Linked DNA regions of Danio rerio. The protein of the gene in region 1 purifies or fractionates together with the protein of each later gene. This does not show direct contact. Links are inferred from orthologs where the notes say so. Each region holds a gene or a part of one and is shown in the gene's direction. Other genes may lie near its edges. The genes, in order: ccnc and cdk19.

Region 1 (17,067 bases):
TATAACATTTTTTCTTCTGGAGAAAATCTTATTTGTTTTATTTCCGATTGAATAAAAGCAGTTGTTATATATTTTTAAAAGCATTTAAAGGTCAAAATTATTAGCCCCGTTAAGCTATATTTTTTTTCCATTGTCTACAGAACAAACCACTGTTAAACAATGATTTATCAAATTACCCTAACTTGCCTAATTAACCAAGCCTATATATAAATATAGGCAGCTATTGATGTGATTCAATTAGTAATTGAATTTGAGGCAACAATAACATTTGTTTACATTTGAAAACTAAATTAAATTACTGTATGGGTGAAAATATGGAAAATAAACATAATATGTAATATACGCTGCGGCCAGGATTCTGACCAGAAGCAGAAAATCAGAGCACATCACACCTGTCCTCAGGTCTCTACACTGGCTCCCAGTTACATTCAGAATAGATTTTAAAGTATTATTACTTGTCTATAAATCACTAAATGGCCTAGGACCTCAATACATTACAGATAAGCTCACTGAATACAAACCTAACAGATCACTCAGATCTTTAGGATCATATAAACTAGAAGTTCCAAGAGTTCAGTCTAAGCAGGGTGAATCCGCCTTCAGCCACTACGCCCCTCGCTGCTGGAATCAGCTTCCAGAAATGATCAGATGTGCTCCAACATTAGGCATATTCAAATCGAGACTGAAAACACATCTGTTTAGCTGTGCCTTTACTGTATGAGCACTGTGCTACATCCGACAGATTGCACTATTATGTTTTTCGTTTTCTTTTTCATTCTTTTATAACCTATTTTAACTCATTTTAATTTGTTTTCATCTGTTTTTAATAATTTTATTGTCTGCATTTTATGTTCCTAAACTTGTCTTTTTTTATTCCTGTTTATGTAAAGCACTTTGAATTGCCACTGTGTATGAAATGTGCTATATAAATCAACTTGCCTTGCCTTGCCAATGTATTATAAAATAATAATAAAATGTATAATATTTTGACTTTGCTTGCCTCAACCCATTTAAATTCTGCCTTTTAAGTAATTTCATTAAATGACCATTACACCCCTATTGATTCGGGATGTTTACAGTCTTGTCAATTAAACAAAAATGAATATCTTGCTCAAGATAATATGATACAATGGCAGTACCTGTATGTGGTGATTTCAATCTCCAGTGACATCTTAACATTGAGCAGATCCTGATATTCTCTCAGCAGCAGCGCGATCTTCCCCTTGATAGACCTCAGTTCCTCTTTAAGAGTCTCTATACGCGTCTACACATGATCAAAACAAACATGTTTTTAGTATGCTTGAATATAATCACTTTAACTGTTAAAAGCTATTGGTTACTTGTTAATTAGTTACGGTTATTAGGAACTAATAAAGTTATGGTAGCTAACAACCTCTGATTTGGATTGTAATGCAACAATGTACACCTTTATTAAAGCTGCTTTGACAATACTTATTATGAAAAGCGCTATACTAATAAACTTGAGTTGAATTTAATAATAGTATTTAGTATCGGGGCGTGTCCTTACATGTAGCTCCTCCTCCTCTTTCCTGTAATTCTCCTGCGCCTCCTTGATCATCAGCAGCAGTGCCTCATTCCTGTTTTTAAGGGCATCCAGTTCCCTCTGTTTGTTCTGTATCTGTAAACACGTGTGCAGAATGTTAATAATTCTGCATCATTTGGTGTTAATAGTGACCCACGCTTTCCCTCACCTCCTTCTTGTATCCCATGATTTCCTCTCTGGCGCTTCTCGCTGTTTCCATGTGCCGAGACGATACATTGTTTAGATCTTGAAACTTTCCTTTGTACCAGGCGTCCATATCCTAGACACACGCCAGCAAGGAAACACAAAAAGATCCAGGTTCAGTGCTATGAAAAGTGGCATTGTTTACATTTTATTTCCAAATGTATTATTATTAAGAGCATGAGCCCCTTCAGATGAATCATCTCATCATACACAAATGACAGATTGAGCATTTCATAGTACAGTTGAAGTCAGATTTATTAGCCCCCCTGAATTTTTAGACCGCTTGTTTATTTTTTTCTCCCAATTTCTGTTTAACGGAGAGCAAATTTTTCCAACACATTTCTAAACATAATAGTTTTAATAACTCATCTATAATAACTGATTTATTTTATCTTTGCCATGATGACTGTAAATAATATTTTAATAGATATTTTTCAAGACACTTCTACACAGCTTAAAGTGACATTTAAAGGCTTAACTGGGTTAATTAGGTTACTTTGGCAGGTTAGGGTAATTAGGCAAGTTATTGTATAACGATGGTTTGTTCTGTAGATTATCGAGAAAAAATATAGCTTAAAGGGGCTAAGAATTTTGTCCCCAAAGTTGTGCTTAAAAAATTAAAAACTGCTTTTATTCAAGCCGAAATAAAACAAATAAAACTTTCTCCAGAAGAAAAAAATATTATCAGACATACTGTGAAAATTTCCTTGCTCTGTTAAACATCATTTGGAAAATATTTAAAAATGAAGAAAAATATTTGAGGGGGGTTAATAATTCTGACTTCAACTGTATTTATTTTTACCTGGAGGTTTTGCGCAGCGATACTGTCATACTGAGCCTGGATCTGTTTGAGGGCAGACGCCAGATCGGGCAAAGAGAAGGCCACATCTACTTTAGCCACAGATCCATAAATTTGAGCCATCAACTCCTCGATTTCCTGACAGAAAAAAAAAAAAAAACAATAATAAAAATTCAAGCTGAGATTGTTTTCTGTTGTGGGAAAAACAGCTCCTCAAACAAAGGTTGAAAAAGGAGGGGCTTGATTTCGTCTATTGTGAATAAATCGTATGGTTGTTGTTTGCTATTGGTCGATTTTATTTGATTGTCAGATTGATCCCGCCCTCACACTAAACATGTAATCAGGGAAGATATATGACTGAAGAGGAACAGAAAGTTATTTTGATTATGAATAGGTGTACATATATCCTCCATCACCACAGTTAGACAGGTGCAGTTGGAGGATTTAGGAAGTTTAGCAAAATGCAGTTTAGAAAATGCGGCCAGCCATACACTGATGTGGATGCTGTTATATTTTGGTGTATTTAAACTGGTTCGGAGCAGTCTGGTGTGAAACAGAAACAAAATGGCTGAAAATGCTACAATGTATAATGTTTACCCTTGGTTTGAACCAAAGGTACTACAGGTGTGAAAGCACCCTCAGGGGAAGGGGAAGGGGTTTTGACTATAAAGTAGCACACATGCATACCATTTGAGGTTTAGACAGGTGATGCTGGAGGATGTGGAGGGCTTCAAATTGGCTTATTTTACAGTGAACACTGAGCCATAATGTTTAATTGTTAAACAAGCATTTTCATTGGTTGCAGAATCTGACCAATCAACTTGTGCTGAGTAGCAAACAGCGTGGCTGTGAGTAAATTGCGTGTTGTGCACCTTTTTGTGAATCCTCTGCAAGAACTCGAGCTCCACTTCCAGATTTTCCAGTCGTTTTTCCAAGGCAATTCGGGCAGAGGTGGCTGCATCCACATCCTAGTGGACAGAGGGAGTTTAGACACCATTGTTATGTAAAAACAGCTGTGTTTTTGTTATTACATTGGACTTTACCGGTCTGAAGGCTTCAATCTCGAGCTCTGCCTTCTTCCTGGCCTCCAACGCCTCCTCGTATTTCACCTTCAGCATTTCCAGCTGACCTGCCATGGCATCCTTTGCTGCTACTGCCAGGTCCTGTAATACATTATACATACATTAAATATGGCCACATTTAATAGGCCAATCAGTGTCGGTCAATTAGTGACTTTACCGGGGTTCTGCTTTTATTATTATTGCATTTCAGCCATTTGCCAAAACACAGTTATTTCATTTCAAAGTCAATATTTTTTGGATTTAATCATAATAAAATCATGAAAAATAAAGATTAAATAGACATTTAATTTAACATAATTACATTTAATTAGATGCACATAATTAGATGCACATAACTTTTGTGAAAATAAAATTATGGGGGAAAACTATGAGCGAGTAGGGCAAATTGGTGAATAGTGTGTGCATTAGTGGCTCTGTGGTTCATCATGTCTCACCCGTTGGATTTTCATCTGGTCTGCAATCTTCTTCATCTCCCTCAGTTGTTCCTCATAAAGCAGACGCAGGCCGGACGGCTTCACATGGTGGCCTTTAATGGCATTAATCTCAGTCTCCAGCAGCTTGTTACTCTGCTCCAGAGAACGTACCTGGACCAACAAAACACCGGTCTTCAAAATAGATACCACAAAGAGAGAGCCAAAACAGTGAAAGGCATGACGTTTTTTATACCTTCTCGATGTAAACAGCCAGCCGGTCATTGAGGGCTATCATCTCCTTCCTCTCGCTGGTGCGTGTGCTGAGGAAAGCCTGATTCTCAGCGGCCGCAGCGTCCAGATCCACTGCACCTCCAGCACCACCAAAACCCATCCCGAGACACAGCGTCCCCATACTCACGCTGCTGTGGAGCGAATCAGACATGCAAAGAGATGTTATTACAGTCAATTGTAATATTTAAAAAATATGTTTCACGAAACAATATGAAATACAGACTGTAGTTAAAGAAATTAGACTAGTAGTAAGAACGCAGTAATAACTGAGTAAACATTGCTATTGATAATAATGAAGTAATATTATATTATATTAAATAATGTTTCATTATTGTCTCATTATTAAATTATATTATTTTTCTCAAAAAATACAGTAAAAAATATTAGATTAGCCTACATAATAATTTTATTTAACCATAGTAATGATTGTCTAGTATGGTGGCCTATATTAGGTAGCATTATTCATTATTCTTTACATTAAAATAATAGCACAATTTTGTATGTTAAGAAAAAATATATAATAAAAAGAGGACAAATCAAGAGAAACCAAAACTATATAAAATGTGTTGAAAGGTTTGCAGTATTTAGCATGTCATGTAGCTGTATTATCTTTTAACTAAAATATTATTGTAGCTGTAGCCTGCTCAGTCATGTAATGTATATCTCATAAAGTGACATTATTTTTACATACAGTTTCTTCAAATTAGACTACTAAAATTATATTATTATCCTTATTTATTATAAATTATTCTTTACATTAAAGGTGTTAGGCTACTAATAACACAGTAATAATATATTATTTTCCTTATTTATTCTGCATTATTCTTTACATTAAAGGTGTCAGGCTGCTAATAAAAGTATAGCCTATTATTTCCTAAAAATATATAGCCTACAGTTAAAATATTTAATTATTGATTTACATATTTTTAACTTAAATCTGTTATAGGCTACTGATTATAACACAGTAAAATTATAATATTTTTCTTAAAAACACAGTAAAATATTTAATTATATTTTAGGCTACATCATTATTTGATTGTCCGGTATGAGCACTTACAGTACAGAACATTAATTTTACATTACATTTGTTAGGCTACAAATAACACAGTGAAATACTATGGTAAAGTTTTTTCCTAAAATTAAAACTTAGTCAAATTTTTTATTATTTATTTAGGCTACATACGTATTTGATTGTTGAGTATGAGCACGTTTATTAGAGAACATTAAATATATTACATTAGATGTCTCTTTACCTGGTCATGCGTGATTTGCGTGTCCCGGACAGCGCTCTGCGGCCGGTGCTGCGGGAATAGCTGGCGGACCGGTGTCTAGTCGCCCCGCGAGTTGGAGAAGGGCTGGAGACCCGGACCTGGAGGGTGGACGAGGCGGCCAGGCCTCCCTCAAAGTGCCTGCGGTAAGAAGACATCCTCTCCGGGCTGTAGCTCATGTTGAAACCGGTGGTCCTGAAACAGAAGCGTGTGATTGTATCCTCACACTCATTCATGCGGTAGTTTTATACCTGCTGTCCCGCAGAGGAATCTCGAACCTCGGGCTGACTTGAACTTAACCCGCTGCTGAACAATCTGACGGGTCACCGCGAAGAGTTTTACCGCAGTAAAAATAGAGGAGCGAGTTTTCCTGATGCCTGAGATCTTTATTAATCACATTCTCTGCACTAAAAGTGTCGAAAACTTTTTGGAGATTGACAGTAGCCTGGTGTTGACTTCATCGAGGAGGTGCATGCTAATTATTAATCATAAATTAACGGTTTATGGTCACTGTAGCCTTGTATATTGGGTAAAAACAAATGATAATGTAATAAAAAAATGACAATGTAAAGTTTGTTTATGGCTGTCAAAGACAAAAAACATGAGAATCTATATTAATACAAAACAATATCATTATATTATAATATATTGCATTATATTATATTATATTATATTATATTATAATTAAATAATAATATTGTATATTATATTTAATTATATTATATTGTATTATATTATACTATATTTTATTATATTATATTATATTATATTATATTATATTATATTATATTATATTTAATTATAATTAAATTATAATATTGTATATTATATTTAATTATAATTATATTATATTATATTATATTGTATTATATTATACTATATTTAATTATATTATATTATATTATATTATAATATATTATATTATATCATATTATATTAAAATAATTTCGATTAGATAAATATAAAGTTGATGCCAGTAAAGTCCGCAAAAACTCTTCCGGAACTGATGCGTTTGTTTGTTTCCTCCCGGACCGTTTTAATCTTCACATTGAAGTTCCACGGAGTGTTTTTTCTGTCGCGCTCCTCATCTGATCTGAACGGAGCATCGATTATTTTAAACACAATTTAACAGCACATTAAGGTTTATTTTCTACCTCAAGATGGCAGGGAACTTCTGGCAGAGTTCACATTAGTAAGTATTTTCGTATTTACTACCTAAATCACGCACAATAAAGGATTTTTGGGGGTTTTGCTGCGGTTACGGGACCATAAGAGATATAAAAAAACATTTCAATTGTCATATTTGAATTATTAATGCGAACAAAGTACCACATTTTGGTCATAACCAAGACTCAAATACGGAGGTTAGATTATTTGACTTTTATAAATCTAATAGTTTAAATCGTTGACTTATTAGCTTTAGCTGTCTGGCTAGTGAAGAAACCACAGAGAAATTAATTTGTGAATCATTTGCATAAATATCGGTTATTTACTACGTGAATTCATTTTCACACATTAAATTTACATTTATAAACTCAATTAAAGTAATGTTTTAATGCTAATATCCAGATATGAAGTGACTGATACATTTGTTGTTTGACTTGTAGAGTGTATTTATTACACGTAAATATTAATATATGTGTGTTACACTTTAATGATTTGTGAATTGAAAGTGTCTTTGTTCTTTTCAGTCTGCAGTGGGTTCTGGACAAGCAGGATCTGATGAAGGAGAGACAGAAAGATCTCAAGTTCCTCACAGAAGAGGAGTACTGGAAACTGCAGATATTTTTTGCCAATGGTTTGATGAGAAATTGCTTATTTAGTTGTTTTGTTTTCTCTTTTCTGAATCTGAAACTGTATTTCTAGACTAAGTGCAAAGCAAGACCAAAATATTCAACAATATAGTATTTACTCATGTTATATGACAATGGCAGTTCATTTATATAGCATAATTAAAAGCAACCCATGTTGACGGATGTGCTTAACATTAACTAAAATCCACAAACAGCAAGAATAAGTCAAAAACAAGTAAATAAAAAGGCTAATTAAAAGCTTTTACGTGGTTAAACGCCAGTAAAATATGAACTAAATCTTATTCATGTGTTCAGTGCTTTGTCAAACAAGATAGTTTTTATACTTGGATTAAAAACGAAACAGATTTGCAGCTAATCTAATGGAAGACGGGGAAATCATTCCAAAGTGTAGCAGCAGCTGCAGAGATTTCAATCTAAATTTAGGAATCAATAAAAGTCTCTCATCTGATGAGCGATCAATTAATGATAGATGGGTTTAAGAGACAATGTGCAACAACTTTTATTAACATGAGTTTTTATTATGCATAGTAAGCATATTAACTATGAGTAAAGTGTCTACTTTCATGCTTTAAATAGCTTTTGTGAAAATATTGTTTCCTCATACTTTGGTGTAATAGATAAATATATATTTTTCATGTTTGCAAAGGTATTTATATCATTTAAATGTAGTAATAATTTAAAAATATGCAAACAATAGGTGATCTTGTTCAATTTTGTTGTATTTTAAATAAGTTTTGTTGACAATTGGTAAATCTTTTTTGTCATTTTAACATATTTAAATAACAATACTTTTGGGCTACACTGTTATCTGTTAATATATCATCAGATGATTGATCTTTCAAGATTTATTTGATGTTAGACATTTTAGGGGGAGTTATCTGTAAATGTATGAAAAATAATGGCACTTTATGTTTTGATGCTTAGAGCCTTAATTTTTTGACCATATGACCAAGTGTTAGGTTACCACATATACTGTGGAGCGTTAATTGAAATGTATATATTTTTTTCTGTTTTGTATTCATTTGTATTTGGTTTTGGGATTTAAATGCAAAGCTAACTTAAAGCCTAAAAGTTTAAACAGCTTAAACACTTTAAAATGTTTAATTCGTCCTCTTGTGACAGTGATTCAAGCCTTGGGCGAACACTTGAAACTCAGACAGCAGGTCATCGCCACGGCAACTGTCTACTTTAAGCGTTTCTATGCCAGGTGAGCAGTGCAGTGCCATCATTAAAAGCTTGTTTTCTTCTAAAGATTCCTCTTCTAGATTCATCTAGGCTCTTGTGTTTTTCATGTAATGTGGTGCTCTATTTTTGTTCTGTGGCTTTCATTTAAGTACTCTTTAGTTCATGAAATAAAAGGAAAAACTCTTGGCTGTTTTTTCAGGTACTCTCTGAAGAGCATTGACCCTGTGTTAATGGCCCCAACATGTGTGTTTCTGGCCTCTAAAGTAGAGGTAAATACTCTGTCTGTATATAATATAAAGTGCTTGGCATAAATGAGTAAAACATTTTTTGAAAATAAATATTTTTTTACCATGTCTCAGTCATCATAGGTAATAGATTTTGGCATATTTGAACAAAACAGATTTATTAAACTGATATATTTATTAAAATATTTTTTTTGTCACCAATCATCTTTAGAAATAGAAAGATAATGCATGTACAGTCATGCAAAACATTGCAAAAAAATGACAAACTGAAATTTCAACTATATGTTACATTTTTTTTGTTTTTCTTGATTTTTATTCTATTTTTTACAATTTTATTTAATATTTGTCTTATTATATACATTTGACCTAATTTTTAGACCGTCATCATACTTTTTTTTTAACTTTTTATTTTTTTATATTTTTAGCTCCAGAATTTGACTTCAGTACTGACTAAACTAATGTATATGCACAAATATAATATTGTAAATCATCCTATAGAAAATATTAACTTAAAAGAGAGATTTGTGAGGGGTGTACTGAGCACTGTAAACACAATATTTATTCAGATTTCTGCTGAAAGATGTTTGAAACTGCATTTTAACACTAAAATTCTGCTGTCAACAGGAATTTGGTGTCGTTTCAAACACTCGGCTTATTTCAGCAGCAACGTCTGTGTGTAAGTGGGTTATATTTTACAATCATAATTTTTTTTTATGTTAATAAAATATATGTATTTTATATTATATTATATGTTATATGTTATTATTATGTTATTATATGTTATATTATATGTATTATATTATATGTATATATATAGTTTAAATTGTACTTGTATATTTTATAATAAGTTATTTTTTTGTATATAAAGAGAGAAAAGTCCCATCTGAGATTTTCATCTAAAATTAGCATTTTTCCTCAGGCTTTTGTGTGTCACTTCAGTAATTTTACTCTTATGGCAAATAATAGGTTATTTGCATTGCCTTTAAAGTGGAGTAACTGATCATAAATATTGGAGGCTGAGAAAAACACAACTTTTAGAGGAAAATTTCAGACGTCACTGAAGTTTTTTCATCTGAACTCTTTATACAGTTGAAGTCAGAATTATTAGCCCCCCCCCCCCCCCCCCCCCCTGTTTAGTTTTTCCCCCATTTTCTGATTAACAATTTTTTTCAACACGTTTCTAATCATAAAAGTTTTAATAACTAATTTCTAAGACACTTCTGTACAGCTTTAAGTGACATTTAAAGGCTTAACTAGGTTTACTAGGCAGGTTAGAGTAATTAGGCAAGTTATTGTATGACGATGGTTTGTTCTGTTGACAATCGAAAAAATATAGCTTAAAGGGGCTAATAATTTAGTCCTTAAAATGGTGTTTAAAAAAATCAAAAACTGCTTTTATTCTCCCCAAAATAAAACAAATAAGACTTTCTCCAGAAGAGAAAATATTATCAAACATGCTGTAAAAATTTTCTTGCTCTGTTAAACATCGTTTGGGACATATTTAAAAAAATAATAATAATCAAAGGAGGGCTAATAATTCAGACTTCAACTGTATATACATATACAAACACTTTTTATATATACATTATATGAAGTTGCACAATATATTCAAATAAGAAAATCTATATTATATTGTAATTTATTTGATCTAATAGCCAAGGAATTGTTGCTATTACTAAATTTAATTTAGTTTAATTTGATATATAAAAACAACTAACAAAACACTATATAGACGTGTTTAAAAATGTAATCATGAAAAAACTAAAATGAAAACAAAATATAAGCATATCCCGATTATACTAAAAAAACAGTTTAATGTCTTCCTCAATAGTCACTTTTGTAATATATATGTATTTCTCAGACTTTTCTTTTTTTAATAGTGAAAACAAGGTTCTCTTATGCCTTCCCAAAGGAGTTTCCCTTCAGAATGAACCACGTGAGTCAAACGTCTTTGTTTCACTACATCAGAAAACATGATGAGACCGTCATGTGAGAGTCTTTCCCGAGAGCATGACTTCACTAGGAGATTTTGGAAATCTGACAGCATCACTATACATCCAGATAATAATTTCTTGTAACTTGTCTGATTCATATGATGGAAACACTAGTCGAGAGTTTGAGTGTGTGTGTGCTGATGATGCAGTGTTTCTGACACCCGTTCAGGAGTGAAATTCCTCACACTCGCAACACCTTCGTAGGAAAGTCTCATTATCCTGATAGATGACTTCTGGTTTTGGCCGTTCATGTCTCGGGCTGGTGATAAGTGCCATATGATTACTAGCAGTGTTGTTTATTCAGCACAGCACTAGTCAGGTGGTGTAAAGGAAACATTGCGGTCTCCATTTAGTAAAGGGGGGAAAATGCCAATTAGTGCGCATAACATGCTAACGCCATGATTTCACAGTGAACTTATGCCTTTATCTCGCTAGATCCTGGAGTGTGAATTCTACTTGCTGGAGCTCATGGTTGGTATTGATGGATTCTTGAGGTTGTCTTGAAGTTGTGTTTTCAGCGTTTGTTGATGGATGTTTGGTTTGGTTTTGTTTCAGGACTGCTGTCTGATCGTGTATCATCCGTACAGGCCGCTATTGCAGTATGTGCAGGACATGGGGCAGGAGGACATGCTGCTGCCGCTGGCTTGGTGAGGAGTGTGTGTGGATTCAGTAGAAACCTCTACTTCTTTTATATGCTGGTTAAAGGGATTGTTCGCCCAATCGTCTATCTCTTTGTTGTTTTTTTAATGCCCTATACTGTTCATTCCTTTTTGCATGAGAACTTCTTGATGCTCATGCATGCCTGTGTAATGGTAGTTAAATCACAATCACACTTAAGGAGGTAGTTCACCCAAAACAGAACATTCTGCCAATCTTCACTCGTTGCAAACCTGTTTGAATTTCTTTTTTTCCTTTGAACACAAAAGAAGATGTTTTGAAAAATGTTGGAATGTGGTAACCATTGACTTTTTTCCTACTATGGAAGTCAGTGGTCAACTGTTTCAAACATTCAAAAAGTATGTTGTTTTGTGTTCAGCAGCCTTTATAAACACAAAGGTTTATAAAGGTTTGAGGGTGTGTAAATATAAGAATAATGTTAATATATGAATAAAAATGCAAACATATCAAAGAATAATTCCATGTAACAAATGCCATGTATTGCAATTATTCTGTAGACATATGATAAGGTTTGGTGAAAAACAAACCGAAATTATTGTTAGACAAATTTTCTGATGTTGAACATTTTTTTGAAGCTCTTATTATTGAGGCGTTTCAGTCTGACTATACCTTTTTATCAACATCTACATTTTAAATAAGTGGCAAGAGGAGTGGAATGCATTGGAAATTAATAAATTACATGAAATACAACCTGAAATGTCAAACAGAATTTTAAGACTATTTGATCGAGTGATTTTTACTAGATGTTGTGTTGGACATACAAGATTAACTCACGCCTTTTCACTTAAAGATGAAGACCCCACTCAATGTTTGTTCTGCACAACTCCCCACACATTTCACTGGACTGTCCTGCTTTTAATAATTCCAGAAGACTTTTTTAATGAAATGAACTCTCTTAAGGACATTTTTAGCAAAGTGAAACCAGAATTCTTATCATGTATTATTAACACAAAAATATCTTACTTAACTTGTGTTTTTATTTGTTTGTTGTTTTAAATTGTTTATTTATTATTGAAATGTTCTTGCCATGAAAATAGCCTTGGTTGCTGTTGCTATGGTTTATTTCCGTAAATAAAAAATACATCACATTACATTACAGTCTGACTATATACTGCATATAGAATATGTATATCTGACTATATATAGAATGATTATTCAGCACACTGCAAAAATATGCTTTTTTATTTAGTTTTTTGTGTTGTTTTTAGTCAAAATATCTTAATATTCTTATATCAAGACATTAGACAAGTAAAAATATTGTTTTGTTTTCAGAAAAAAGTTGTCAAAATTAAGTGAGTTTTTTCTTAAAACAAGCAAAATAATCTGCCAATGGGGTACATAAAACAATCTTATTGCAAACCAAAAAAAATTTTTTTTACTCACCCCTGATTATTAGGCAGATTATTTTGCTAGCATTAAGGAAAAACTCACTCAATTTTGACTTTTTTCTGACAACATTTTAAACGCCTAGAACAGGGGTTTCCAAAGTTGGACCTGGAGGGCTGGTGTCCTGCTGACTTAAGCTCCAACTTGCTTCAACATTCTTGCCTGGAAGTTTCTAGTATACCTAGTAAGAGCTTGATTAGCTTGTTCAGGTGTGTTTGATTAGGGTTGGAGCTAAACTCTCCAGGACACCGGCCCTCCAGGGCAGTGTGGACACTCCTGGTCTTGAAGATGTTTCTTGATTTAAGAAGTTTTAGATATTTGGACTAGAAACAAGACAAACTCATTGCATTGCACACATTTTTTGCCATTTAGATCCACATTTTACTGCACTGTTGTTGATCACTGTTTTTTACAAGTCTCACATGTTAAAAAGCAAGATGGATAAATGTATACAGATGTCTGATTTGAATGGTTTTTCATGTGTTTATAGGAGAATAGTGAACGACACCTACAGAACAGACCTGTGTCTGCTTTACCCTCCATTTATGATTGCACTGGGTAAGAACAACATTTCTTAGCTCAGTTTGATGTAAGAGCTGATTAAAAATTAGCCAACGTCCCACAAAGTTTTATTTTAACTAATCTTCTGAAACTTTCATAGGCTAGTCAGGTAAATAATTCTCGTGAATTCTATTGCATTGAATAATTCTTCTGAATTCTATTGCATTGCTGTGGCGATATCACAAGCTAAGGCTCTTTAGTTTTGCTTTCTTACAGTCAGTATTCAGTAAATGTACTGTGAGTTAAAATGTCGCCAATGTTATCGGTTGAAACCTGAAGTTGCAATAACATCTTAAAATTTATAGAAAGGGTCTTAAAAATGTCTAAAGAGTTATTAAATTTAACTCTGATTCTTCTATCTACCCTGTATTATTATTATTATTATTATTATTATCATTAGTAGTAGTAGTAGTAGTATTAATGGTAGTATTGTTACTAATATTAGTTGTAATATTAGTATTATTATTAGTACTACTACTATTACTATTATTATTATTATTATTAATATTAATAGTAGTATTAGTAGTCTTAGTAGTAGTAGTTATCATTTAGCCTATAGTTTTATATCTGAATAACTGCATAACAATTGTTTTCTTCCTCCTCCAGCTTGCCTGCATGTGGCGTGTGTGGTTCAGCAGAAAGATGCCAGACAGTGGTTTGCTGAGCTCTCTGTGGACATGGAGAAGGTAAGACTCTTTAAGGTGTAAAAGAAGTGAATGTTTTTTTTTTTCTGGATGTTGGTCTCCTGTAAGTGTGTGTGAATGTCTGGTATGGAGCAGATCCTGGAGATCATCAGGGTGATCCTGAAGCTCTATGACCAGTGGAAGAACTTCGACGATAGGAAGGAAATCGCCGCTGTGCTTAACAAGGTGCCCAAACCCAAACCTCCTCCTAACAGGTAAGATGGATTGCAGTGCTTTACCTCTCAGTTATTCATGTTACACTACAGTATTTTTTTGTGTGTGTGTAACCCTGTTGCAAAGAGTAACAATAGGAAAAGTACAATTGTGTTACACTTCATTTTAACACGCTCATTCATTCAATGATGTTTTGCAGCTATTTCAAAATTTGGTGAATCCTTGCAAAGTTTAATATTTTCTTTTATTTCATACATTTGAATTTTACTTGTATGAAAGGTTTATATGCAAAATTCTAAAAGTTAAAGGTATTAAAGTATTTATTAAGATTTTAATAACTTCCATTTGTTTTATATAATATTTTATCAAGCAGAAACTTACTGTAAGTACCAGGCATGTGCCAATATAAGATTCTGACGGTATGATAACCTTGGATAAAAATATCACGGTATTGTGATTACTGCTCTAAAATTTATTCCTTTCAAATGTCTGAGTAAAAACAAAAACAAAAATTTCCTTTTAAACTCAACATATTTTATTTTGAGAAACATTTAAAATATTTTGGAAAAGTAAACCAACGAATTTTTGGCTTCTGCTGTCTTTATTTATCTAAAAAACAGATTTTTTTTTACAATTTCAAACAGCATTTTAGGATATTTTTTTCTGCTGAAAATACTGTTGTCCTAAAAAACAAAAAAAAAAGTAAATAAAAATGTGTACTCATACTTTTGGAATGGTATTGCAGACAAATTTTAAAAGCTTGACTTTTCCAAACCGCCGTATACCTTAAAAACAGTTATCGTCTCATAGCTTGTGAGAACATGACATGCAAACTGCACAGTATAATCTGCTGGTTTTCAACATACAGAGTAATAATGAAACATGCTTTATTATGCATTTATTATGCTTTATGCATTTATTAAAGTTATTAATTTACTTATTAAAGTTACAGTTATTAAAATCTTAATAAACACTTCAGTAACTTTAATTTTAATAAGGTAAAGATATTAAAGTATTTGTTCATATTCTTGTATTACTGTTATTTTTAGAAAAGTGGAAAATAATATTATAATAATATTGATTTAGCCCATGGTTTTGAAAGATGTTATGTAAATACTTTCATAAATACTTAAAAAAAAAAAAAAAATTTATTTCATAATTTTGCAATATCTTCTGTTCATTAAGCTTTACTTCGTTTACTGAAAACTTTTTTTTGAATTTTAGTTTTTTGAGAAGCACAAAAGCTCCTTGTCATAGCATTTTGTTTATTTATTTAAAAAAATGCATTTATTGTTTCACCTTCGGTAATTCTACTGCTTTACCTTATCTTTAACTTATTTTATTTCAGTTAGTTGCCAAGGGATTGTGTAATTTTCATGTGTTTTTGGGTTAACAAGTTGCTGGTATATTACATTTTTATTTTCAGCTTTATTTCAGTTGCCAAAATGAATCTTAGTCCAAGTATAAAGAATAAAGTTCAAAAGTAATAACATCTGATATTTGTGCCTGCACCTTCTTGCTCTTCTGACTTCAGCGAGACTGACCAGAGCTCAAACGGCAGTCAAAACAGCTCGTACAGTCAGTCCTAGAGCGCCATCTGCAGGTGGACATGAGGCAGAGCGATCCAGAGAGGCAAAAACGGCACATCCTGGCACATTTGAATGCTGATTTTCACAAGCACATTGTTTTCTGATCGTGAGGAAACTGATTCCTGGCACACACACACACGCACAGATTTTCTCTTTCCTCTCCTCTGGAATCTTCCAACCAATCAAAGCAGACTCCACCTCCTTTTGTCCTTCCACGAATCAGAGCAGTCAAAATGATGCCACTTGTTTCCACCAATCAGAGCAGACAAAAAGACTCTACCTCCGTCCTTCCACCAATCAGAGCAGGAGGGGAGCGAACTGCTCACCAATAGGAAATCTGCTTTGATATAGAGTTTGTTGTCTAGCTTAAGGCTGTAGTGCTGAATGTTTTGGACACACACACACACACACACACATAAGCATAAAAGTATGTGTTTAATGGTCCTGACTTTCTTGAAAGGTTGATTTGAAGATTCTTTTGGGAACAAAAAATACATTTTTCCTCTGTGTCTGAGAGTGAAGAGTAGAAAGTGTGTGTGTGTTGTTGAATTATTGTATGCGTGCCTCTCGTCGACCATATCACAGTTTTGTATTCCTCAGGGAAACGGATCAGTCCTCTCTACAAAGTGGCTGGTTGTAAACTGATTGGCCACAGGGCTATGTGACGTGATCTATTTCGAACCCTCGTACTGTGTAAATCGATTCCTGATTGGATACTTAAACGTTTTTTCCGTTGACGTGTGTGGATGTGAGTTCGCCACTGTGAGATTTAGTGATATGGATAGTTTGATTTGATCACAAAAATGCTCCCAAAATGCATTGTAAATATGCGTTCATCCTATAGGCCTTTTTATTCTATAATTATGCTGTGTGTTTTGTTTTGCTTTCATTTTGTTATTTGACGTATTTGCAGCGCACAAAGTGATCGTTCACCAAAAAATGAACATTTGCTCATCCTTTACTCAACTTCAGGTGTTTGAGCTTTTTTTCTGTTTTCAAAAATTGCTGTTTGTTCAAACTATTTATTTAAAATGAGCTGAGACGACACAATTATTGTGTTTTATTTCTGGACAACTTATTTTTTTTATGTTCAATTTACTTGAATTTGTAACAACTAGTAAGTTAAATCAAGAAGTGTGTTGTTTAAGCTCAATTTAA
Region 2 (16,588 bases), on another chromosome or scaffold:
CATGGGGGTACCATAACCCAGAGCTCTGTCATTGAATTATTCATCTGTATCTAATAAATTACTAATATTTTTGGCATTGAAGAAAACACTCTCCAGACCTTTTCTTATTGAACACACATAGAATTGCCTAGATATTCCAACACATCCTACAGCACAACACGACATGTTTGCTATTGCAACCGGTCTCTTTTTGACTCCGGGAACCTGTGTGACGTCATGTGTGACGTAGATTGGTCATTCGTCTTTTCAGATCTGTGTTAATCTGCCATTTGTGATTCTTTCATGCAGAGAGATCTTTGCAGGTGTTTGTGTAATGCATTCAGAAGTCCAAACACGTCTTTATAAAACTTCATATTATTGCTGCAGATGGTTTATAACTCAGGAAATGTGATTTAAATATCTTCCAGTTGTCTAGATATTAAGTAATAGTCATTCGAACATCTTCTCTCTACTTGACGGTTGGTCTTGCATGTCCACCATGTTTGTAGTTTGTTTACACTTTTCCCCCAAGTTTGTTGTTCTAATTGAATTCACTTCCAAAGCACAATGTATTGTGGGCGATATTGGCGAACGGTTCTACACTTTTCTGCATGCTACCGGTTGGAACAAACTAATTCTATTTTCAAATCCTATTTAGGATGGGGGACTCACGGTTGCGCAGTGGGTAGCACGATCGCCTCACGGCAAGAAGGTTTTCTGTGTGGAGTTTGCATGTTCTCCCCGTGTTCACATGGGTTACCTCCTGGTGCTCTGGTTTACCTCACAGTCCAAAGACATGCGCTATAGTGAATTGGGTAGGCTAAATTGTCCATAGTGTATGAGTGTGAATTAGGGTGTATGGATGATCACCAGTGATGGAAGGGCATCCGCTGTGTAAAACATATGCTGGATAAGTTGGCGGTTCATTCCACTGTGGCGACCCCAGATTAATAAAGGGACTAAGCCGAAAAGAAAATGAAGAATTAAGGATGGATAGCATGCGAATTGGGATGCAGCAATGTAGTGTGAACTAGGCTTTAGAGTGCTTAGGCGGCGGTCATCAGGGTCAGACTGGGTAAATGTGAAGCCATTGTTTTACATAAGACTCTATTCTGGGCGATGAGTGTTCAGGGCACTATTTTTACCACCATGTGGAATGTGTTATTGTGTTTGGTTACTGTGTGTCTTTCAGCGTTAGTTTGACTCAACGTGACCACTGCTGTTTCATCACTTAAGCAGCGAAACTAATCTTTTAATCCAGGGCTCAAGATTGGGTATAAACGTTTTCTTGCTAGTGCAACTTAAAAGGACTGGTTCATCCCAAAAAAGCGAAAGTTTCTGCCATCATTTTCTCACGCCTTGACTTGATCCAAACCATTTTGGGCTGTTTTGTTCTGTTGAACACATTCATCCATTCATTTTCTTTTCGGCTTAGTCCCTTGATTAATCTGGGGTCACCACAGCAGGATGAACCGCCAACTTTTCCAGCATATGTTTTACACAGCCCTTCCAGTTGCAACCCATCCCTGGGAAATGCCAATACACACTCATTCACTACGGACAATTTAGCTTACCCAATTCAAGTCTTTGGACTTGTGGTGGAAACTGGAGCACCCAGAGGAAACCCACGCCAACACGAGGAGAGCATGCAAACTCCACACAAACTCCATGCAGACTCCACACAGAAACGCCAACTAACCCAGCCGAGGCTTGAACCAGTGACCTTCTTGCTGTGAGGCGACAGTGCTGTGCCACCGTGCCGCCCATGTTGAACACAGAAAAAGGTGAAACCAGTAACCACTGACTTCCATAGTAGGAAAGAAACATAGTTTTGGAAGCAATTGAGGGAAAGTAAGTAAGCAAATGTTTATTTTAGGGTGAACTAGCCCTTTAAGCTCAACATACTGCTACATTCAACTCAAGATGTGCATTTCTTAGTGAGAAAGCATGAATTATTAATCGTACATGCTGCCTCGAGCACTGCTGGCCTGAAGTGGTCTTCTTGAGTCCTGTAGTCTCTGCCTGGTTATAGGACGAAACACGGCCCACGATTTTACCTTATATGAAGCTTTAAAAAATAATGTTTCACTTTGACTTTTCACTATTAATTGTGTCTGGAGTGTTTGTAACAAAATGTGCTGCTTTAGCTCATTTCTGTCACAGTGATTACTAGGGATGTAACGGTATTAGAATTTAATGGTACGATAATACCTCGGTATGAATGGCACGGTACGGTATTTATTGAAAAATTTACAGTAAAAACAAACTAATAAAAAGACTCGAAAAAAGTGCTAAAAGGGTTTATTTACCTTAGCACTGAACATATCAATGACATACAAATTAACCATCTATCTGAAAGTTTCGAAACAGGAACTTCAATTTTTCAATTTTAATAACAAAAAACTATAAAACCATATAAAAAAAATAGTTTCAATGTAGTATTGTTGAAAACTCATCACATTCAACATTTAATCACTCACTCACTTAGATAGAGATGGGTTTTTTAAGGAAAATTATCATATAACTATAATCTGGTAAAAGCTGGGATCTCTGGGCATTTACAATGTCCCCTGCAATAGAAAAAACCCTCTCATTTGGGACTGAGGTTTCTGGGACAGAGAGATATGATTTAGCCAAGGTTGACAGCAGTGGGTAACGTTGTGCATTGTCTTTCCACCACTTGAGAGGACAAACCATGAGTGAGATAGAGGTCTCTTTGCTGTACAAGTCAATGGTTGCTTCAATCTAACAAGTGTGCTGTGATGATGGCCACGCCTGGGCTGATGGGAATTGTAGTTCCCGCTACCTCCCGTTCGCTTCATTCGCCTGAGCAAACTTTTCTCAGAAATATAGTTTTATTGAGTCATGCGCCTACGGTAATATTGAAAAAAATTACTATTGCGGTATGACGGTATTTACAATATTGTTACATCCCTAGTGATTACACTTCATTTTCACTACTCTTTTAAAACAGTTATATTATACCCCAACATATAACCCAACGTTCCCAACATAGCTGGTTTTGGCTGGGCTCCCAGCCTGGCTAGGCTGGTCAAGCTGGTTTTAGCTGGTCATCTCCCATCCTGCCAAGCTAAGACCAGGCTGGAAATGGCTGGAAACCAGCCTGGAAATGGCCAAAACCCCTCTAAAACCAGGCTGGTCAACCAGCTAAAACCAGCCAACCAGCCTAGGCTGGTTTAAGCTGGATTTTTTAGCAGGGATAAAAAAGTGACACACTCACTTTCCTGACTTTTTTCAAACTAGAGGTGTGAAAACACCCTGCTGAAACAGGGGTGTTTACTGGCCCTTTAAGAGATATCTGATCTAGACATCTACATGAGAAAAGTCTTCTTTGCAGTGTAGAGTAAAAGAGCACAGCTCAGCTGAGGCTGGAGTGATCTGCAGACTGAATGGTTTATTATATGGTTTATTCACGTGTGTCTGTGCTTGTGTGTCGTAGCTGATATGGGTTTTGCTCGACTCTTCAACTCTCCGCTGAAGCCTCTGGCTGATCTGGACCCAGTGGTCGTCACCTTCTGGTACCGGGCGCCTGAACTGCTCCTCGGGGCGAGACACTACACCAAAGCAATCGGTGAGCTGTGCGTCGACTTTACTCATGGCTAGGCCCACACGGAATCTGCTTGCGTAGAATTCCGCAGATTTTCCGCAGATTTTTAGCCCATCATTAATTCTGTTTATTTACTTGAGTAAATGTGTGTAAATCTAAATTTATTCAGTTTTTAAATTAATTTCAGTAACATTATTGACTAATATGAAAATGTTAGGGTTAGGGCATCTGATTTATGCACAATGCAGTAAGTATTATTTCCGGCTTTTAGAAGAGATATTATTTAAGAGACTTGCTTTATTTACCAAAAAAGCTAAATCTAATTTGCATTTTGAACATTAAATAAAAGTTAAAAAGGTATAATTTTTTTTATTTCATATATTAAGGTTTTAGTTATGATACTCCCAAAATAATTCAGCAGAAATCCACAAATTTTTACCAAATTTCTCTGCAGAAATAGCAAAAACACATCCGCAGATTCCGTCTGGCCCTGCTCATGGCCAATCTACCCTTTGTTATCTGCACTTAACATTGTTTGACTGTGTTTGTAGATATTTGGGCAATAGGCTGTATCTTTGCGGAGCTGCTGACGTCAGAGCCAATCTTCCATTGTCGACAAGAGGACATAAAGACCAGCAATCCTTTCCATCACGACCAGTTAGATCGCATATTCAGCGTCATGGGCTTCCCAGCAGGTACACTGCAAAATATAATTCTTACTTAAAGTTTATGTCTTGTTTCTAGTCTAAATATCTCAAAATTCTTAAAGCAAGAAGCTTTTTCTAGACAAGTACAAAATAATGTCTTGTTTTAAGGAATAATATGTCAAAATTATCAACCAATGACTTTCAAAGCGAAACCAACATTATTTTGTTTACCCTTTTGGCAGATTATATAAAATAATAGTTTATTTGTAGCCATTATAATAGCAAAATTACAAGAAAATGATAATAATAGAGTGACTTTCAAACCCTGCAATGACCACCCTACTGAAAAATCCAGCTTAAACCAGCCTAGGATGGTTGGCTGGTTTTAGCTGGTCGACCAGCCTGGTTTTAGAGGGGTTTTGGCCATTTCCAGGCTGGTTTCCAGCCATTTCCACACTGAAAAAAATTATTCGAAGATGATTCCTTGGATTTACTCAATTTCTTTACATTAAGAGGTTGTAAACAATTTATTTGGGCTGAATTTAAACAAACAAATTAAGTTGAACATTAAGTTGTACTAAACTTAATTTGTTTGTTTAAATTCAACACAAACAAATTGTTTGCAACAGTTCTGCATGCAACACTTTTTTCATTGCAGCCTGGTCTTAGCTGGACAGGCTGGGGGATGACCAGCTAAAACCAGCTTGACCAGCCTAGCCAGGCTGGGAGCCCAGCCAAAACCAGCTATATCTAGCGTAAACCAGGCTGGTCAAGCTGGCTTTAGCTGGTCATTTTCCAGCCTGACCAGCTAAGACCAGGCTGGAAATAGTTGGAAAGCAGCCTGGAAATGGCCAAAACCCCTCTAAAACCAGGCTGGTCAACCAGCTAAAACCAGCCAACCAGCCTAGGCTGGTTTAAGCTGGATTTTTCAGCAGGGCAGGCAAACAAACCTTTCTCGAACTGATATATACACTTTATTAGGTGCACCTGTCCAACTGCTCGTTAACGCAAATTTCTAATCAGCCAATCACATGGCAGCAACTCAATGCATTTAAACATGTTGGCATGGGCAAGACGATCTGCTGCAGTTCAAACCGAGCATCAGAACGTCATCACTGTGCACTGTTATGTAAAGTTGATTCCTTTTTCCTATAGATAAAGACTGGGAAGATATCAGAAAAATGCCAGAGTATCCTACCTTACAGAAAGATTTCAGAAGAACCACGTAAGTGCAGTGTTTTCTTCCATACTAACACCGTTTCTTTCATCAGCCAAAACTTTATTAAGTTTATGTATTTCCAAGTCTAATCACATTTGTTGAAGTAAATCAGTCTTATTGAATATACAGCAAAGCGGCGTTGTGATTCTGTGCTGAATGAAAACAGCTGACTTCTTTTTTATAATTCACTCACCGTGCAATGTTCAGTCTCCACTGCGTTAACCGCGTCAGCTAAACTCTCCCACTCTATTTTTTTCTTTTGTTATTAATTCCGGAGGACAAACTTGCAAATAACACTGCTTTTCTGTGATCTACCTCCGATAAAAGCACCTCCAATTCACATTCTGTGAAGTTTCTCTTCTTGCTGGCTTTTCCCTACTGAAAAAAAACAGCTTAAACCAGTCTACGCTGGTTGGCTGGTTTTAGCTGGTCGACCAGCCTGGTTTTAGAGGGGTTTTGGCCATTTCCAGGCTGGTTTCCAGCCATTTCCAGTCTGGTCTTAGCTGGTCAGGCTGGAAGATGACCAGCTAAAACCAGCTTGACCAACCTAGCCAGGCTGGAAGCCAGTCAAAACCAGCTATATCCAGCTTAAACCAGACTGCTCAAGCTGGTTTTAGCTGGATTTAGCTGGTCATTTTCCAGCCAGCTAAGACCAGGCTGGAAATGGCTGGAAACCAGCCTGGAAGTGGCCAAAACCTCTCTAAAACCAGCCTGGTCGACCAGCTAAATCCAGCCAACCAGCCTAGGCTGGTTTAAGCTGTTTTTTTCAGCAGGGTTGTCATTGCTTTTTCGTTTGGTTTTGCCAAAGTGGAGTCATTACCATATTTATATAGGGTTGGAGGCCGGGAGGGTTTTGCGCTCGTGCACGTGCGCTCAGTTTAACGTTAATTGTACAAAAATGTACAAAGAGAATATGTGTGGGATTCGGCGTACGCAGTGTTTCATACATCTGAATTTTTTACTGTGTACGCACGTTTACAGCTTTGTCCGTATGCGATGTTTAGTATTATTTCAACGCAAGTCTTTGTACATGAGGCTTCTGGTTTCTCGCACGCACACTTGGTGCTTCTTTAAAGTGGTTGGTTGGCATCCACCAATCACACAATGAGTTCCTGTAAACAGGAAGATTGCATGTCAGCTAGACTGCAGCCAAAATTAATTAACCTACCCAGTAACGGACAAAAGCATTATATTGTAAGGATAACAGAGTTAATATATTTAAAAAGTAATGCGTTGTATTAGTTACTGTCAAAAGTAATGCGTAACCGTAATGCATTATAGTAGCGCATTACTAGTAACGTGTTATTGCCCAACACTGCTAAAAATGTATTCAAGGGTAAGTAAAAGTACACTACTTAGTGAATTACAATTCCTGAGAAAAACTACTCAACTACAGGAGTCTGAGTTTTTGTAGGTTGTAACTTTACATCACAGGTTTAAGGCGACACTCATAGGCTGTGTCCGAAACAGCCTACTACTCAGTAGGTACAGGGCCGGCGCGTCCATAGAGGCGACCTAGGCGGCTGCCTAGGGTGGCAGAATAGAGAGGGCGGCGTCCCTGACACTACCCTCACCTCTCGCGCCCTTAGTTATATCTGCGTCTGGGACGGCAGAATAGTGAGCGCGTCTAGGACGGCAGAATAGAGAGGGCGATGTCCGCGTCACTACCCTCACCACCCGCGCCCTCAGTTATATCCGCGTCTAGGACGGCAGAATAGTGAGCGCGTCTAGGACGGCAGAATAGAGAGGGCGATGTCCGCGTCACTACCCTCACCACCCGCGCCCTCAGTTATATCCGCGTCTAGAAAGGCAGAATAGTGAGCGCGTCTAGGACGACAGAATAGAGAGGGCGATGTCCGCGACACTACCCTCACCACCCGCGCCCTCAGTTATATCCGCGTCTAGGGTGGCAGAATAGAGAGGGCGACTTTCACTTTAGGGTTGAGGGCAGCGTGACCGTCCTTTGCCTGGAGCAGCAGTTCAGCTTGCTCCGGCCCTGAGTATGTACTCCATTTGAATTTAATCGTACTACTCGGCCGTTAGAAAAATACGTTCTATACAGTATCATTTTTGTAAAAAAGTATGAATGGATTTCGGACTTACTACATCCGCCATTTTGACATAGTCACGTGACATACCTGCGTAATTTGCGTCGCTTTACTCCCATTCATGAATTCGCTCGCGGGGCATCATGGGATAGCGCAGCATGCATGGGATGCGCACTCCAGAATCTCGCCGGAAGTAGTAAGTCATTCGGGTACTTTTCGCATACTGTTTTTCGAATTCTATGAATTCGGACGTACTACTCGGCTCGCATACTGATTTTAGCGTACTATATAGTACGCAAGTATGCGGTTTCAGATGCAGCCATAGTTTTGATGACCGAGCGTGCAGAAACGTATCATATAGTGACGTTTCTGTTGTGTTTTTCAGATATGCCAACAGCAGTCTCATCAAATACATGGAGAAGCATAAGGTCAAACCAGACAGCAAAGTGTTTCTACTGGTGAGTCTTTTCATGCTTTCACTGTATCTGATTGTTTGTTGAAAGGTCAACTTTGCCCTAATAAATAAGATATTGAAGTGAGCAAACCATCTTAGGCCAGGATTATTTATCCATTTTCTTTTCAGCTTAGTCCCTTTATTAATCCAGGGTCGCCACAGCGGAATGAACCACCAACTTATTTAACATGTTTTACGCAGCGGAGACCCTTCCAGCTGCAACCCATCACTCGGAAACATCCATACACACTCATTCCCACACACACACTACTGACAATTTAGCCTACCCAATTCACCTATACAGCATGTCTTGTTGGGGAAACAGAAGCACCTGGAGGAAACCGACGCAAATACAGAGAGAACATGCAAACGTGTTTGTTTGTTGTAAAAATTCGTAATTGGCGAGGCAGTGGCGCAGTAGGTAGTGCTGTCGCCTCACAGCAAGAAGGTCGCTGGGTTGCTGGTTCGATCCTCGGCTCAGTTGGCCATTCTGTGTGGAGTTTGCATGTTCTCCCTGCATTCGCGTGGGTTTCTTACGAGTGCTCCGGTTTCCACCACAAACCAAAGACATGCAGTACAGGTGAATTGGGTAGGCTAAATTGTCCGTAGTGTATGAGTGTGTGTGGATGTTTCCCAGAGATGGGTTGTAGCTGGAAGGGCATCCGCTGTGTAAAAATGAGCTGGATAGGTTGGTGGTTCATTCCGCTGTGGCGATTCCAGATTAATAAAGGGACTAAGCCGACAAGAAAATGAATGAATGAATAAATAATTCGTAATAATGACAAAAAAATACTAATTTGTTGATCTTCTTACTTCCGGGTGGAGCTATCCTGCCGTTGTGGCTGGTGTATTCTGGGAAATTTTCTTACCTCTTGTTTTTGAGTGTGGTCCTAAAAAATCTCCATTCGAAGGGCTATTCACCCCTTCCCCTTAGCCCTACACTTTCAAATTAACTATAATTGGGACAGCCCTACCCCTTCACGAGAACACACAAAAGGGAAGGGAAGGGATAAGGGGTAGAATTGAGATTGGGCCTAAGTTACAGCTACTACGAAATATTTTTTGGTGCACCACTGAACTTGGTTTAGTCATATCTCTGAGTTCCAGAAACATATTTACAGCAGCCTCCCCACCCATGACAAACAGTAGAAAGAGGCGACAGCAGATTAGTCTACATTGAGGAGCTCCGGGTTGATACTGAGGAAGCACATGTTCTCATCTGTCATCTCCCTCTGCTCAGTGTTTTGATTTGATTTAGTTTTTGATGTCCTGCCAAATCTCACCTTCATTCATTCTGGTTTGTGACAGACAAGGTTCGTTTTAAGGAGTGTTCTGTTTTGTTTTGTATCGCTCAATTGAAGTGAGAATTCCTTCATGTCTGAATTGTTCTTCCTGTTTATTTGCCTGTTCATCTGCGGGCTACTATTAACATGAGATCAAGTTTATTCATTCATTCATTTTCTTTTTGGCTTAGTCCCCTCATTAATCCAGGGTCGCCACGGTGGAATGAACCACCAATTTTTCCAGCACGTTTTTACGCAGCAGATACCCTTTCAGGGCGAGGCAGTGGCGCAGTAGGTAGTGCTGTCGCCTCACAGCAAGAAGGTTGCTGGTTTGAACCTCGGCTCAGTTGGCGTTTCTGTGTGGAGTTTGCATGTTCTCCCTGCCTTCGTGTGGGTTTCCTCCGGGTGCTCTGGTTTCCCCCACAGTCCAAAGACATGTGGTACAGGTGAATTAGGTAGGCTAAATTGTTCGTAGTGTATGAGTGTGTGTGTGAATATGTGTGTGGATGTTTCCCAGAGATGGGTTGTAGCTGGAAGGGCATCCGCTGCGTAAAAACTTGCTGGATAGGTCATTCCGCTGTGGCGACCCCGGATTAATAAAGGGACTAAGCCGACAAGAAAATGAATGAATGATGCCCTTTCAGCCGCAACCCATCTCTGGGAAACATCCACACACACACTCATTCACTACGGACAATTTAGCCTACCCAATTCACCTGTACCGCATGTCTTTGGACCGGAGAAACTGGAGCAGGAAACCCACGCGAATGCAGGGAGAACATGCAAACTCCACACAGAAACGCCAACTGACCCAGCCGAGGCTCGAACTAGCGACCTTCTTGCAGTGACGCGACAGCACTACCAGTGCCGATTTCAAGTTTAGTGTTATGATTTGGATAACTTCACATTAATTTCACGCATATTTCAGGCTACTTTTCCCTTTAACAATTTGAAGGATTCTGATTGGTTATGTCATTCAATGCAACTACGCATTACCTTATACCAGCGGTTCTGGATTCTGGTCCTCAGATGCTCATCCCTGCACATTCTGCACGTCTCTCTTACTTGACACACAAGAATCAGTTCATGGATCTCTCAGTTCACATGCTGATGATCTGAATCAAGTGTGTTAAATAAGGAAGACACACAAAATGTGCAGGGCAGGGGTGGCCCAGGGACTGGAATTGAGAACCACCGCCTTATACAGAGCTTACAGCCTGCTTTCAGGCTTATAGAGATTATAGTTCAGCTAAAAATGAAACTTCACTCGCTGTCTACTTACCATTGACTTGCATAGAAGGAGACAAAAACACTATGGAGGTCTATGGTTGCCGGTTTCCAACATTTTTCAAACGGACTTATTTTGCAATCAACAGATAAAATGGCTTGAGTTTTGAACTGAAGGTTGAGTAAATGATGATTTTCGGTGAACTGACCCTTTAAGAACATGTAGTGCAACCGAAGTACAATATTAGTTACAAATCATAGCTATATACAGTAGATGTCGCCTGCTCTGTTGTTGTCTATTGGAAGGAATGTGTCAATAGAGCCGCCATTTTAGTACAGAGTAGCGCTCCTTTGAAATGAATGCGGGACCAAGCTGCAGTGGAGGATTGTGGCCATCTAAAGCCAGATTATTTATTTATATATATATATATATATATATATATATATATATATATATATATATATATATATATATATATATATATATATATATATATGCATATATCTATGATTTCCCGGAGGTCAGTATGCAAATTTTTTTTTTAATCACGAAAATTAGAATTTTACATCACTTTTCTACATTGATGGATCAGTGATCGCACGGTCATTCCTGACAAAAAGCTTGTGTTTGTGTGTATAGAAATGTACTATTCACCTCCCTGTTGAATTTGATCTAATACGTGTCTTAAAACACACCTCCTCTCCTGCTTTCACTTCTCATAGTGACGGAGGGAGCGATTTGTTTGTGAATGTATCCCTGTTATAAACGACTACACTTAGCCGACAATAATACAAGTTTCTGGCAGCGCAGCATCTCGTTGTCATATTTCTTTTGCATTGTTTGCTGATTTTATTCAACAAAACTAGCATAAGCCGAGTGTTTAGTGCGAGTTGGTGCTCCTTCGCCTTATGGTAAATGCAGTATTATTATCATTACTTCTCTTACTTCTCTCTAATAAACGTTACTAGTTTAGCACAAAAGTTCATAACATACAAAAATGTAAAAAACTAAATCTTCCCTATGAAATGTTCTGCCTTTGTTTTCTTTGTTAGTGCTTAGACAGCACTAAAGTACCGCATCTTCCTGTAGTAATACTGTCTTGACTAGTGAGGTTGAATGACACTTGTCCTGGGAGCCCTGTACAAATATGGCGGCGCTATTGACGCATGCTCAGGGTCCCTATGCGACATCTAGTGCATGTATCTATGGTTACAAACTAGCTAGTAATTACTAAGCCTCTAGTGTGGACTTTATGTCCTCTTTAGGGCGTACTCACACTATGTACAGTTGCCTTGAACCAGGCTGAAGCACGCTTGTCCCCCCTCCCGTCTCCCCCGACGGCCCGCACTCACATTACATTCGGCCCTGGGCCCGCTTACGTCATCATTGATGTGCTGTTCAGTAAGCGCTCTCGCTCAGAACAGTGGACATTTCTTTATATCATTTAGGTCGTTTGGGATGCAGTGACACGCAGTCAAACATTTCGCCGTACAGATCAGCCACTTTTGACGCTCATAAACAATAATAAAGCCCTCGTGCTGCAGGAATTAGGAGGTTTGCTGAAGGTGCAGCTGTGGTGCAGTGAGGGGTTTGCGTCTTTTAATAATCTATGACAGTTTGCTTTCATTAAAAAGAATGATTAATAAATCCATATCAAACAGCCACCTAAAAGTCACATCTCCTCTTGAGTTTCTGGCTCAGGCGTGTTTTGCACTCACACACTGAGCGCCCAAGTGAACCGCGCTCTGACACACCTCTTCCAACAGGGCCAGGGCTGGCCAAGTGAACAGTGCCTGAGCCCGATTCAGAGCACTCACACTTCTCAAACGATCCGGGAAACAGACCTGCGCACGGTTCGGATAGCATAGTGTGAGTACGCCCTTATATTCCAGTTTAAGCAGGATCTTATGAACAGCTGGAACACCCTACTATGGACACCAACAAGTTGACCAATCACCATTCAGAGTAATCAGTGTGATGTGTGTTCATCTCATCCAGCTGCAGAAGTTGCTGACTATGGACCCCACCAAAAGAATCACGTCTGAACAGGCACTGCAGGACCCCTATTTCCTGGAGGACCCCTTACCTACATCTGAGTAAGTCTTGACACACTTGTTTTTATATCCTAATGGGGACTCTCATCGACGTAATGATGTTTCTGCTGTACAAACCGGATATTCTCTTCCCCTGAAATCCACCCTCACAGGAAATAATCTGCATTTGTATACTTAAATACTTCATTCTGTGTGATTTATAAGTATGCTAAGGACCAATCTTAATTTTGATCCCCGCAATGACTTAAGTCTCCATGAGTCTGTGTGCATTCAGGTTTAAGTCCCCTCTTGGATAGAAGTACACACACACACTTATACAGGGTTGCACAATACATAATTTCAGCATCTACATATGTGTATCTGCCATATTTACATTGCAGGATAGTCAATTTTGAGTCAGGATTATAATTGACCAGTAATTATAATCCTTTATATAGACCTTTTTCTTGGAACGCAAAATTACCCATTATGCTTTGCGTGTATGCGCAAGGAGAATGCGAAGAACTTCCGGTCGGCAGCTGATGCGTGTAAACAGTCACATTTGGACAGCTCTGAAATGATAGTTTTAATCTATTTTACCGGCTTTTATCCTCTTTGAACTAATACTGTTGTCCGTCAGCACCATCTCCTGGACTGATCATTTACAGAAATGCGATCTAATAGGATGGAAAACAGCTGCTGTGAGGCGTTTTCCCCTCGGTGTCAGACGGCATCTTCTGCAGTTTAAATGAAGCCTCGTCATCGCTAAAGTCAACATTTTCTCTTTATTTCAAATACATAACCAGCCCAAACAAATGTAATTCACCAAAATGTTTGACACACACACGTACCCTGTACTGTGCCACTGACACACTGATTTAATAACTGTGACAAAGTGAAAATATAGGCTAGTGTCATTTCCAAATGACAGAAAAACACAGAGTCAGTGCAGAGATGTATGGATGCAGTCCTCCAAGCTCATGATGGAGTCAGACACAATATTCATTCTGTCTCCACTGCAGCAGGACTTTATATTCTATACTGGACATTATTTCTGTTCAGTGATGAGACTTTTGTCAAAGCAGAGTTAGACTTTACTGTACTAATGAAATCATTAATAATCAGGGCATGATCAGATTTTATTTTGGTCAAATAAGTGTAATCCAAAGGCCTTTGCGTTTCATATAAGCCACTTCTGATACCAAATGACCAACTAGAAGTCAAGTTATTATTTGGTGTTCCTAAAACTTGGATAGGCAACAAAACTTTTGTCAGGTAGTTTAGATTATTTAGCTTGGTTTAAGGAAAAACTCACTTAATTTTGACTTATTATTTCTGAAAACAAGACAATGGTTTTTGCTTGTCTAGAAATTATCTCTTGGTTTAAGAATTTGTAGATATTTGGACAAAAAACAAGGCAAAAATTAAAGTAATGCCTAGTTCAGACTGTGTGATTTTAGCCCCGGTTTTGGCTCGCCGACAGGTTTTGAGAAATCGCTGACAAATGCCTGAAATCACAGGCAAATCGCTGCTCGTTCACGTGAGTGACAATCACACAGTATGAACTTTCAAAGACACCATCTTATGCCGAGTTCAGACTGCATGATTTTCAAAGTCGTCGTGTCACAGATGTTTTCACACTGCATGACTATCTGGGCTTGCGTTTCGTCGCTGCTTTGTTTACACTGCAAGATGGATCGGCGGCAGGGACATTCACATTGCATGACTTTACTATAGGAAGAATCGCCGACAACTTCGTCCAAACTACGTCTCACAGCCAAAAACACGTCGGTTATCTTTTATTTACTACATAATGAGAAAGAAGCCTTTAATGGGGTAGAACATGTACATGTTTGCTCACCTGGGTTTAAAGGGAATTAGCCATTTCTCCTCAACTTAAGTTGATAATAAACTAATTTCTTTCTGTATGAAACGTCAAACAGACACGGTTGCTCCTGAGTCCTGTCAAACCTCCACTAGTTTTTCCTCCATTTCGTGGGTCCAAATAAACCGAAAAAGAGCGCTGTTAACTTCTCCCCCAGCCTCCTGCTGGCCTGCAGCAGGTATACACACACACACACACACACACACACAAGTGAATGCCGCTCTCTCATTGGCTGTAGGCGATCGCTGATGTTATTTTCAGTCAAAACTCAATTCACACGGCATGATTTGAATCGTCGACAGCTCCAGATATTTAGCATGCCAGATATCACAGGCATCGGCGACTCATTGGCGATTCTCTAATGCCTAGTTCAGACTGCGTGATTTTAGCCCCGGTTTTGGCTCGCCGACAGGTTTTGAGAAATCGCCGACAAATGCCTGAAATCACAGGCAAATCGCTGCTCGTGCACGTGAGTGACGATCACACAGTATGAACGATCAAAGACGCCATCTGAGAGAATCGCAGATGAGTCGCCGATGCCTGTGATATCTGGCATGCTGAATATCTGGAGCTGTCGGCGATTCAAATCATGCCGTGTGAATTGAGTTTTGACTGAAAATAACATCAGCGATCGCCTACAGCCAATGAGAGAGCGGCATTCACTTGTGTGTGTGTGTGTGTATACCTGCTGCAGGCCAGCGGGAGGCTGGGGGAGAAGTTAACAGCGCTCTTTTTCGGTTTATTTGGACCCACGAAATGGAGGAAAAACTAGTGGAGGTTTGACAGGACTCAGGAGCAACCGTGTCTGTTTGACGTTTCATACAGAAAGAAATTAGTTTATTATCAACGTTGAGGAGAAATGGCTAATTCCCTTTAAACCCAGGTGAGCAAACATGTACATGTTCTACCCCATTAAAGGCTTCTTTCTCATTATGTAGTTAATAACAAAAGATATACTGCGTGTTTTTGGCTGTGAGACGTAGTTTGGACGAAGTTGTCGGCGATTCTTCCTATAGTAAAGTCATGCAATGTGAAAGCCCCTGTCGCCGATCCATCTTGCAGTGTAAACAAAGCAGCGACGAAACGCTAGCCCAGATAGTCATGCAGTGTGAAAACATCTGTGACACGACGGCTTTGAAAATCATGCAGTCTGAACTCGGCATTAGAGGCATTTTTGCAGTGTTTTCATAATAGAGCGCAGTGGCGGCTGGGTCTGACCTGCAATCACAGTAATCATCCTTAAGATCTAGCCTTTGTACAGATTCTCTGAGTTTTTTGTGATGTTGCAATACATTGACTGGCCTTCACTGAAATGACAGCTTTCAGGCAAACCCTTTAATTATAAGGGGGTGTTTGTTTGCTCTTGGCCATGTAGTCTTGCGTACAACAGATATTTTCATGTTCAAAACAGCTTTTATTGCAGCATGAACACCAGTTGCTAGGGGCGGGTGATAGCACAAAAATCTCTTATCATGATATACGTCTTTTCATATACTGATAACGATAAACAGTTGAAGTCAGAGTTATTATCCCCCTGAATTATTCACCCCCCTGTTATTTTCTCTCTCCAATTTCTTCATCTTTGCCATGATGACAGTATATAATATTTGACTAGATATTTTTCAGAACACTTCTACAGCTTAAAGTGACATTTAAAGGCTTAACTAGGTTAATTAGGTTAACTAGGCAGGGTAGTGTAATTAGGCAAGTCATTGTATAACGATGGTTTGTTCTGTAGACTATTGAAAAATGTATATAGCTTAAAGGGGCTTATTAATTACCTTAAAATGGTGTTTAAAATTAAAAGCTGCTTTTATTCTTGCCGAAATAAAACAAATAAGACTTTCTCCAAACGAAAAAATATTATCAAACATACTGTGAAAATTTCCTTACTCTGTTAAACATCATTTGGGAAATATTTTTAAAAAAATTCAAAGGGGGGCAAATAATTCTGATTTCAACTATAAATCACAATATCGTATAATTTCTAGACAGTCAAAAGTTTACACACATTTCCTTGGTATTTTTTAGCTTTGCTTTTAAACTGTATAACTTTGGTCAAATGTTTTGGGTCTCCTTCCACAAGCTTCTCACAGTAGTTTGAATGAATTCTGGCCCATTCCTCCTGACAGAATTGCTGTAACTGAGTCAGATTAGTCTCGCTCGATCAATCTTTTTCAACTCTGCCTACAAATGTTCTATAGGATTGAGTTCAGGGCTTTGTGATGGCCACTCCAAAACATT

Evidence for each region.
Region 2: the proteins of ccnc (region 1) and cdk19 purify together in Homo sapiens (affinity purification with mass spectrometry; 8 studies listed by BioGRID and IntAct, counting the BioPlex papers as one, with this or other methods). This does not show direct contact. The link is inferred for Danio rerio from reciprocal best matches to the Homo sapiens genes CCNC and CDK19.

What each region holds. Positions count from the first base shown.
Region 1 is NC_133179.1:6,188,214-6,205,280, reverse strand, and holds the start of ccnc (cyclin-C), read left to right. Parts: upstream 1-6,670; 5' UTR 6,671-6,760; coding exon 6,761-6,792; intron 6,793-7,291; coding exon 7,292-7,398; intron 7,399-8,536; coding exon 8,537-8,621; intron 8,622-8,798; coding exon 8,799-8,868; intron 8,869-9,468; coding exon 9,469-9,520; intron 9,521-10,724; coding exon 10,725-10,780; intron 10,781-11,273; coding exon 11,274-11,309; intron 11,310-11,393; coding exon 11,394-11,485; intron 11,486-13,392; coding exon 13,393-13,460; intron 13,461-14,069; coding exon 14,070-14,149; intron 14,150-14,242; coding exon 14,243-14,361; intron 14,362-15,854; coding exon 15,855-15,909; 3' UTR 15,910-17,067. Other genes in the region: ngs (notochord granular surface), read right to left, coding at 1,140-1,264, 1,529-1,639, 1,713-1,823, 2,550-2,684, 3,419-3,514, 3,590-3,709, 4,063-4,212, 4,295-4,463 and 1 more. UniProt on the Homo sapiens protein: Component of the Mediator complex, a coactivator involved in regulated gene transcription of nearly all RNA polymerase II-dependent genes.
Region 2 is NC_133195.1:2,981,911-2,998,498, reverse strand, and holds part of cdk19 (cyclin-dependent kinase 19), read left to right. Parts: intron 1-3,439; coding exon 3,440-3,571; intron 3,572-4,098; coding exon 4,099-4,242; intron 4,243-5,349; coding exon 5,350-5,419; intron 5,420-7,846; coding exon 7,847-7,919; intron 7,920-12,424; coding exon 12,425-12,522; intron 12,523-16,588.